Linked DNA regions of Neodiprion lecontei. Each later gene encodes a partner of the first gene's protein in a complex. Links are inferred from orthologs where the notes say so. Each region holds a gene or a part of one and is shown on either strand. Other genes may lie near its edges.

The links. Proteins that work in one complex are often made in the same cells at the same time.
Region 2: the proteins of endoribonuclease Dcr-1 (region 1) and RISC-loading complex subunit tarbp2 are in contact, whole or in part, in a cryo-EM structure (PDB 8DGJ), measured with the Drosophila melanogaster proteins. The link is inferred for Neodiprion lecontei from reciprocal best matches to the Drosophila melanogaster genes Dcr-1 and loqs. Residues at the interface, in NP_524453.1 of Drosophila melanogaster: His245, Phe248, Asp251, His252, Arg253, Asp255, Glu258, Ile259, His303, Tyr306, Gln307, Glu310, Lys311, Lys313, Arg320, Leu323, Cys326, Leu327, Ser329, Thr330, Ile333, Gln334, Tyr336, Ser337, Leu338, Glu340, His341; in NP_609646.1 of Drosophila melanogaster: Thr358, Gln359, His360, Ser361, Lys363, Val364, Phe367, His368, Lys372, Ile414, Glu415, Glu416, Lys417, Thr418, Phe419, Gln422, Gln424, Pro433, Val434, Gly435, Val436, His438, Ser440, Asn454, Tyr458, Ile461, Met462, Lys464, Lys465.

What each region holds. Positions count from the first base shown.
Region 1 is NC_060263.1:27,267,329-27,272,174, reverse strand, and holds the start of endoribonuclease Dcr-1, read left to right. Parts: upstream 1-1,727; 5' UTR 1,728-2,132; coding exon 2,133-2,192; intron 2,193-2,379; coding exon 2,380-2,495; intron 2,496-2,577; coding exon 2,578-2,737; intron 2,738-3,078; coding exon 3,079-3,371; intron 3,372-3,464; coding exon 3,465-3,827; intron 3,828-3,985; coding exon 3,986-4,146; intron 4,147-4,220; coding exon 4,221-4,429; intron 4,430-4,599; coding exon 4,600-4,783; intron 4,784-4,846. UniProt on the Drosophila melanogaster protein: Endoribonuclease which functions in microRNA- (miRNA) gene silencing and, independently of its ribonuclease III activity, also acts in the short interfering RNA- (siRNA) gene silencing pathway.
Region 2 is NC_060261.1:39,598,516-39,603,554, forward strand, and holds the start of RISC-loading complex subunit tarbp2, read right to left. Parts: upstream 3,117-5,039; 5' UTR 2,887-3,116; intron 1,657-2,886; 5' UTR 1,648-1,656; coding exon 1,332-1,647; intron 540-1,331; coding exon 404-539; intron 292-403; coding exon 1-291. Other genes in the region: general transcription and DNA repair factor IIH helicase subunit XPB, read left to right, coding at 4,243-4,276, 4,378-4,589, 4,664-4,774, 4,874-5,023.

The DNA of each region.
Region 1 (4,846 bases):
ATAAGTGAAGATATATTTTATTTCACTCTGACAATTTCCCGTCAGTAATTTATTGATGATCTAACGAAACTGCTTCTAAGAAGGATTTGTCGAAATAATTAAATATCTATGGGACAATAGGTATAAAGATCTTACTCAAGCGACCATGTATTAACTATGTAAAATAAACTGTAAATATATATATATACGTATGTACATAGGTATTATATTTGTATGCAACATATTTATACATCATACATAGTATTAAAGTTCAAAACCAGAATTTGGATGTTCGGATGTTCAGAAAGTGACGTCACCGAAATTTTTTTCTCTGACGTCATCGATCTATAGTAATCGTCGACGACGAAAATCAGCTAACCGAATTCATCATTCTGAAAACAACCGCGCAGTAGAGCGGACGGATGAGAATCGGGCTCCGCAAATTTCGAGTACCGGGTTCTCCACCTCCTGGATCCTGCGCTCAGGGTCCGCTTCCTGGTGCAACTCGAGTTCCGGAACAAGCGCTCCGTAGTTTCTACGCTCCAGGTCCGCTACCTGGTGGAACTCGACTTCCCAGACAAGCGCTCCGTAGTTTCTGCGCTCCAGGTCCGCTACCTGTTGAAACTCTACTTCAGGAACAAGCACTCAATAGGACTGGCGATCCAGGTCCTTGACCTGGTGACTTTTGACCTTCAGGACTAATTTTCTGTAGTTATGGCTGTCCAGGTCCTCCACCTGGTGGATCTCGACCTCCAGGACTCGCGCTCCGTAGTTTCTGCGCTCAAAGTCCTCTACCTGGAGAAACTGGACTTCAGAGACAAGCACTCCGTAGTTCTGGCTGTCCAGGTCCTTGACCTGTTGACTTTTGACCGTTACGAGTAATTTTCTATGGTGCCTGCGCTCCAGGTTCGCTACCTAGTGAATTTCGACCTCCAGGACCAGTGCTTCGTAGTTCCTGCACTGTGCAGTGAGCAGTGAGGGCCTGAGGTATCTCATTAATTTCGTATCATCTGGTAAAACACTAACAACGAGTAAGCGAGCGCACAAGAATAAAAACCAGCTGCACTAGGCATCCGACCCCGAGCGAGCTTTAACGAGCGAGGGTTTTACAGCTTATTATTATTTGTATGCAACATATTTATAAATAATATAATTAATGTGATTTCAATGTCTCGCTTCTTTAGTCTAGAATGGAACAGTGAAATATATATATATACTGAATGCGAGCCAGCAACGCAGAAAAACCGGGGATGTGCTATTATGCGTTCTTTTGTACATATAATCTGTCATTTGTTCAAATCTTGACAATTTTTTATTGCTACTCGCGTCACGTCGTGCTTACCATTTTTAGCAATTTTTTTCGTATTCTAAGGGGGTGCCTTGCTCGATTTCGACGTTGACATATATACCTCTAAATATCGAAGTCCACGCATCTCAAATGTAAACAAGGGTTTCAACAGCCCCATTCTATACGCCATTCTAAACAAAGATTTCTACAATGCATGGAATTTCTTTATTTCTGCATCGAATGAAAATGAATTGGTGTGTGTCTGTTCAAAAACGCATATAGGTAGAACGGGCTGTGAGCCCTTTTTTGCATTGACATATACCTATACGTCACGTCGAAATCGAGCATGGCGCCCCCGTGAGGCTTTAAGGTGCGTCTACATTGAAGCTCCAATGTAAACGCACCTTTCAGGCTCATGATATGCCTACTATTCGAAGAGTTACCGATTGTATGTACTTTTTTATTTGATTGTATACATACGTACCAATTTATTGGAGTACACAGCCTCTTTAAATATCAGTTCCGATTGTCAATACCAGATGCTGGTTACTACCAGCTCTTTAGAGCAAATAAACAAATGTTTTTAGAGAGTTCCAATCTATGTATTAATTATGGTTCACATCGCGAAGACAGATCTGTGTGCCGCCGATTATTTGACAAGCAGAATAACCTAAAATTTGGTCAAATCTTTTCGTATAAAAATAGCCGTACAACACTGTTATTCGTCTAGAGTGCACATTTCGATAAGGTTTCACCTTGATTTACGTTATTATTGACGTTTTGCTAGTTTTTTGATAAATCAAACAACCCGTAATTGGGTTTTATACGTTCAACGATATAAAAACATTTCATTACTACAATCTCCATGGCATTTCCATTAAATGATCAAGTTCATACTAAGTCTTTCTCTCCTAGAGAATATCAAGTGAGTAAATAAGACATAATTCTAAAACATACATGTAGTGATAACTAATTTCCAAAGTTCGTTTATCATTACTCAAATTACATTTTTTAAATTACATTTTTCAAATTACATTTTGAATTCCATTATTTATTTCAACAAGTTGTACAAATCGAAGTAATTAGTGCCTTGTGAAAATTTTTTATGCTAGGTGGAGCTCCTCTACGCAGCTTTAGAGAGCAACATAATAGTTTGTCTAGGAAAAAATTCTGAACAAATATTTATTGTTATCAAACTAATTCAAGAGTTGGCGACTAACAACAGAAGGTAAAGCTATGTCGTTTCTCTTTACAATTGTTGTTTTTTCATCTTCAAATCTTTGGATAACTTGAGTTCCATCTGTTCACAGATCTCCGTCAGAAGGAGGCAAGCGCTCAGTATACATTCTAAGAGATACAGATCGATGTTTAACCAAAGCTGTATATATACAACAATTAACAGATCTACGCGTACTTATCTGTGATTCTGAGACATGGCCAGAGTTCGATAGAAAATTCGCTGAAAGTCAGGTGATATATGTTATCAACGATATAAATTTTATTTCAATTTTCAACCAGTTATTCAATATGGTAATTCTGTAATATCTGTATGATTTTCAAAATACAAGTCTTTATTTTAAGAGACTCGATCTTTGTTCAAATCTTCCTCAAAAAAGTAGCGCACAATTATCAAATATACAAGTGTTATATAGCAGTCTATTTTATCAACGTCCAATATTGTGATGTAAAACAACAGCATGATTGATGTATGTCTCATTTTTACGAAAATCTTACAAGTTATTTAAATCTACATAAAGTCTGTATCATTTGTGTTCATATTTGTTGATACAGATTTATTTTATTTGTTAAAGGTGATTGTTACTACATCACATGTTTGTGCAGATCTGTTGAATCAGAATAAAATTTATCCAAGTCAAATAAATTTGGCAATTGTAGACCAATGCCACAAAGCAGTCAATGATGAAAAGCTAAAGTTTGTTTTACAAAAATTTAATGTCTCTAACGGTCCTCGACTAATTGGTTTTGCTGCACCAGTTTTTAATCTAACTCGTCAGCCAGGACGACTGGAAGCAGAAGTTGAACTTTTGGAAAAAACCTTTCATTGTAGAATTGAAACAGCCAGTGATATTGTATCAGTATTAAGGTTTGTATCTTCTTACTTATTGTGTTTGTTTCACTTTGTTCACTCAATTACTATGTTTTGTGTAAAATAAGAATGTATTCAATTTTGATTCAGATATAGTCCAAAACCAAAAGAGTACATTGTAGAATACAAATGTGGCGAATATGAAGAATTAAACCAGACTCTGGAGAACTGTGCTATGCATGCTATGAACTTTTTGTGTGATCATCGCTATGATCCCACTGAAATTTACAACGATGAGTTCCTCGAGGACATACAGAAGATTCCTGATCCTAAACAGGAACCTTGCTCAATGATAGAAGACTTTTTGTACGTACTTCAAACATTCGGGGCTTGGTGCGCCAATCACGCTGCTCTAGCTTTGCTAATTCAAGCAGAAAAGCTGAAAGTAAAAACCCCTTATGAGCGACACTACTTATTATTCAACGTTGTGGTTTCCTTGTTTATTAAAATAAGGTATGTGTTTCATGAAATATCAAGTATTGAGTAGTCAAACTCCTCCAACAGATTTGCCACTGTAGATTCTTCACTTCTACCCTCAATTCTAATTTATACATTTGGTTATAATTGATATAATACAAAAACCGAGACATTATGGTTTGTTTGGTTTCTAGAGCTATTTGTGAAAGTGAATTTGAAAATTTGAGCGAAAGAGAAAAATTATACAAATTCTCCACTCCATGTGTTCATCGACTATTGCATATACTCAAGTGTTATGCCCCATCCAGCAAAAAAGAATTGACTATCCCAGACAACAAACTGAGCAATGGACACAGTACGTTGAAACATTTGACACTGTTGAAACAGTGGTTTCATAATTAACCATATCCTTATGCATTGTTAATTAAGGTGTATCTGCCTGCAAGAAAGACATTGATACTGGAAAAGATGGCCTCCAACAATCAAAATACATTGGAAATGTCAAAAAGCTACGAACTGGTATTAAAAGACCTCCAAAATCACGGTATCCACGTACTCAAATTGATCCAGATCTGTTGTGCGGAGTTATTTTTGTGGATAAAGGATTTACAGCAAAAATATTATTTTATCTATTGAATGTAAGTTTTTGTTGCTTTTAATATCTTTACTCTTTACATAAAAACAAAGAAGACACAACAAAAGTTATTCTAACATTCCAAACCTAATATTACATTTTTGTGAGATTTGGGTATACAAATACTTGTCATAAACTAAATATAATTACAAAGAGTTGATTATTTTTCTCCAGGACGCTTGTAAGTATGACAAAGATTTACAATTTCTCTCCCCACTTTATACAATTGAAAAGAATCCTGAGGGAACAAGCTCTGCTCATGACATGGAGGTTCAACATCGGAAACAAGAGGAGGTTTTAAAAAGCTTCCGAATACACGAATGTAATTTATTAATTGCTACATCGATATTGGAGGAGGGTATGTATTGTTGTAAGTAAATGGCCAGTTTCTAAAGTTTTTTAAAAAGCAATGTGCATTTTG
Region 2 (5,039 bases), on another chromosome or scaffold:
ATTCCTGGACTCTGATTGTTCTCAATCGGCGTATCACGCAAAGTGCGCCACATCTTGTCAGCAGCTTGTCGTTTAGCAAGTTTCTTGCTTTTTCCAATTCCAACTTGCCTGTACTTCAGTATAGAGCAGACAATGGTGAATTGTCGCTCGTGAGGTAGCCCTTCCTCGCCTTCCATGGTGTATTTTGGCGGAGGCCAGTGATTAGACATGCACATTTCTTGCAACGAACCAATTGGATTTCCAACGACCTTGTCCTCCCCATAATTTTGCAGTTCCTGAAGATTCTGACCCCTGTTATAACGTCAGCAATTGTCTTATTTTCTGAATCTTTTCTTAACTCACGAAAACAACATCTCACAAAATGAACAAACATCGGAGAAATAAAAAAATACAGTGTACTTACTCAGATATGCTGTTAGGCAGTGGACCCTCTGATGTTTCAGTATTTACTCCAATCAGTTTGTCGAGGACTGCTTTAGCTGCGGCGTGTTTTGCCTCCTTCTTAGATCTCCCAGTCCCCATAGCTGAAATGGTTAAATCTGCTTCATTCGTGCAATTCTTTTCGAGTGATCTTATGGATTCATTCCAAAAGTGACACGGTGCAAAGACTAATGCTAGACTATACAGCTGATTCTACAGAAGCATTTGAAAATTCTAAAAAATTATGACAAAACTTCAGTTTAAATCAGCGCACAATAATACTCAAAAATGAAGGCTGAATGCCAAATAATTTTGTCTTTTATACGAGAAAATATTTAGGAGTATGACAAACATCAAATAAGTATCAATTTCAATGTTGAATGATTTAGTAATGGACTGGATTGGAATAGAATATTATATGATTGAAAAAAATCAGTGCTACTTATAATTTCCATTGAAATTGAAAGGGTGAACAGATATTTCAATATAAGCTACCATGCTTAGGAAATTGATGTTCAATCATTTATTACATCAAAATAACACTCTCACTCATTCATATTGGTTGACACTAGTATGAGGTAATTGAAAATCATATTTCAGCCTTGTTGTATTACAAGAATGCGAACAATTAGTGAAGAACTTAGACAATTATTTGTAGTGACAGTTAAAAATATTTTGATAAAAGTGTAGAACCTACGCTATCATGCTTACAAAATTAATTTTCATCAATTATCCTTATTTACTGGATTCCATCAACAAACGAACTGGGTAAAAGAAAACCATTTGTCAGACCCTTGTTTTACACAAAAGAATTGAACTCTCAATTAATTACTTAACATTTAATACGGCCAACTATTTACTTCAACATTTACACAAACTCTTAGGTGAAAAAATTTATAGGACATGCTTACCAACAACATCAGAGACAGTGACACGATAACGGAAGGTAGGTTCATGTATGGCACCCTCTATTTGTACAAGTTCATATTTTGGGGTAGTGCCTCTGCGAGACAGAAGCTCTTGCAAAACGGAAACAGGAGTTTTAGCAGGCATTGCCTTCATTTCTAAACGTGCTGCCTCGTCCAACGGTAATGCCTCGGACATAAGAGTGTGCATCGTCACACGATTCCTGCCATGACGATGTACGCTGTTAGGATGAATCGTTTGAACCCCAATTCCACTCATGATATTGGGCACGACTTGTTGAGAATGACGCATCTCGTCCATGTTATTATTCTGTAAAACAAAAAATAATAATTATCGTTTTGTTGAGAAGGAAAATATTTTGCGCAACAACTGAGCTAATATTTAGACATATGTGCATATCTATTTCTGTGAAATCAAGTGAGCAGCTTATTGCTCGACTGAGGAAAATTAAATATCACCTTAAAAATTTGAAGCTTGTACAAAAATTTTTAGAGAGTAATCAATATTTCTGTGAGATTGAATTGTTACCGTTCACTTATTCGATGCATATTTTTTAGATACTGACGGAAGTGGATTTTCTATTTTTGAAAATGAGCTACAAACAGACTCTCAAATGAACAACTCTACATCTACTTTTGCATTCTGACCCAGATTTGTCATATTAAAATATCAGAATCGACATGGTTATTTAATGCCTAACCATACAGCTAATCCTGAAAGTAATTTCAGGGGTAAGTCACATGCTTCAATGATATCCTTTAGCATCCGACTTACCGATAAGATTAGAGTTTAGAAATAATCACTCCACATACCGGTTCAAATATTGCGGTTTACCGAACTCTAAAACCTGCCGTATCTGAATACTTATCAACCTTAAGATCAATCCTTCGACACTTTCGTTGTAAAAAATTTACACGTCCCGAAAGGAGTTCCACAAATACTTTTGTAAATTTGACACAAATTGTGGATGAAAAATCCTGCGGCGAATAGCCGTAGATATCATGCTGTATTTTTGTGAAGTGACAAGTCGTCGAAGAGCACGCTTGTTGTATTGCGAAAATAGGAGATCGTCGTCACATAACTAGACTGGTTCGTCCGAAACAAACACGCGGTAAGTGAGGTGAAGGACAGAAAGTACGCTGGGTTCTACGATGACGCGTTGAGCCCATCAGGCACTTGCCGGTCCTTGATCCGAATGAAACGCGGGACAAAAATACGTCCGTAGACCTTTGTTATTCAGAGGTGTAAGCAGGTAATAAGACACCGGCGGACGGCCATGTTTGTTATAAAATTTTCATCGATTGAATCTTAAATTGGTAAGTAAGGACAGACCGGTGCGACGATGAGGGACGATTGGAGGATGGATGGATGAAGAAAGGTTAGATCTTGAGGGTAGTAGAAGTTGTAGAAGGAATGAAATAAAGATCTAACGCCCACAGACACGCATCGTGACATCGAGCGAAGCTAGCTCGAGGCTGCCACTCGTAGATATGCGTGGATCGCGAAGAGGTTCGACGGTGTTATGAGGCTTATACTCACAATTAACCACCCAGCAAAGTACAGATATCCTGACTTCTGCGGCTCGCCAATTCCTATGCGAAAAGCGAATCCCGCTTTTTGTGACCGATCCAAGTCTCACAAAAAGCTTGATCCGTTTGACGACAGAAAAATGGTTTATGGACTACCGGAGAATCCTTCCTTGTTTGCGGCTCTGCAGCAATATGCTCTCTGCTACATCAGACCTGCGCTGTGAACTTTTGCGCCGCCGGCATGCGCGCTTCGCCCAGGCACCGTATGATTGTGTTCTACGATTATAAGATTGTTACTGTCACGATATTCGCACTGAAGCAAGCTGCGGATGTCATTCAATTCTAAAACAGGTGAACTACGGTATTTTATTTTCTTCTGTCATTGCCGGTTGCCAATAATCATGCGTAAAATTATTCGCGCGAATAACGTAATTCGTGCGTTCTTAGCGATGAGCGCAATCTATGCGCCGTACTCGATGCGCAAGCCTTAAACTTGCCTGGGTGCCAAGTTTTGGTTACCAAAACCGTTGATTGATTACAGGAGAGCCGAATAAACAGTGTATCTAGATCGTTTCAGCAAAAACTCGACCACGTGGATAGTCCGTGGTGTAAACAGGCCGACTTTAATGCATGTCCACACGGACGCAACAGGATTACGGCAGTCCATGTACGATCAACAAATAACGCGCGATTTTTTCCTTTCAATTAGTAAATATTTTGATATTCGAGGTATACTTTAAAACCGACTTGAACAACAATCCTGTTCTCTTGGCGAATATAACACCGAATTTTGACTTACACTTTCGATAATCGTGCTGTAACACCTGGTTCTCATCATTCATTGATCGCGTATCGGAGAGAATTTTAAACCGAAGTATAAATATGTAATTATAATTATCTGGCTTTTAATTTTACTTTCTTAGTAAGATCAAGTTTCATTAGTTGTCAATTGTAACGTGTTTAGTGATCATTCAATCGCTCGTCCCTTATAATAATGCATATTACGACTATTGCAATTCGCTTTTTCAAGTTACAACCACGGTTACAACATGCTGCGCAGATCGTTTTTTTTCTCGGTTTTGCTCAGAAAACTGACAGCTCTGATCGAGATAGCTGACCTAACTTAACATGAAACGCACTTCAAGTCATACTTCAGCCAAACTTCAGGTTGCCTGTGAGGGCTGTGAGGTTATGTCAAACCAGATACAGTGCTGACCGTTGCCAGTCCGCAATGTGAGAGTTGTGTAGTGGTTATAAGTTTATTTACCGGGATTTACATCGACTGATTTTTCAGTGTCAAGGTGTGACGGCGTTGAATCAGTGTACAAATCATTTTGCCTGTGACTAATTTTTAAGCGGGGCTATCATGGGCCCGCCAAAGCGATTCAAAAAAGATAATGGTACATAACCCTTGAACACTTTTTCACCGTTCGTTTAGAGATACACTTCGAATTTTTTAATTTCTCATACTCATACGGTTCTCAATTTATTTATCATATAGACAAGGGCAAATGGAAAAAACGTAAGGAAGATCACGATGAATATTTCGACGACGACCACGGTGATGGTGGTGATACTGAAGGCATTCCTGATGCGGCTAAAAATGATATTGAAAAACAAGACGAAGGGGCTGTTGAAGACGAATTTGGAGCTAAAGACTATCGCTCGCAAATGATCTTGAAGCCAGACAACTCGTCGAGGCCACTATGGGTGGTACGTTGTTATTAGTCAATTAAACTGATCTCTGCAAATAAAAGAAGAATAATAAGAATATCCCAATTTTACAGGCTCCAAATGGACACATATTCTTGGAATCATTTTCACCGGTATACAAACATGCTCACGATTTTTTAATTGCCATTTCCGAGCCCGTTTGTCGACCAGAGCATATTCACGAGGTGAATATCAAATTTGATTCTTTATTTTATTCATGACTACCAAACATTTCGTCAAACCAAGCTCGCTGCAATTGAATAATTACGTACCCTTCCTTACAGTACAAACTGACTGCTTATTCCTTATATGCAGCCGTGAGTGTGGGCCTCCAAACCCACGATATTATCGAATATCTAAAACGGTTGAGCAAAACTAGCATCCCAGATGGAATCATTGAATTCATACAACTGTGCACGTTATCTTATGGAAAGGTAAGCATAAGTGTAG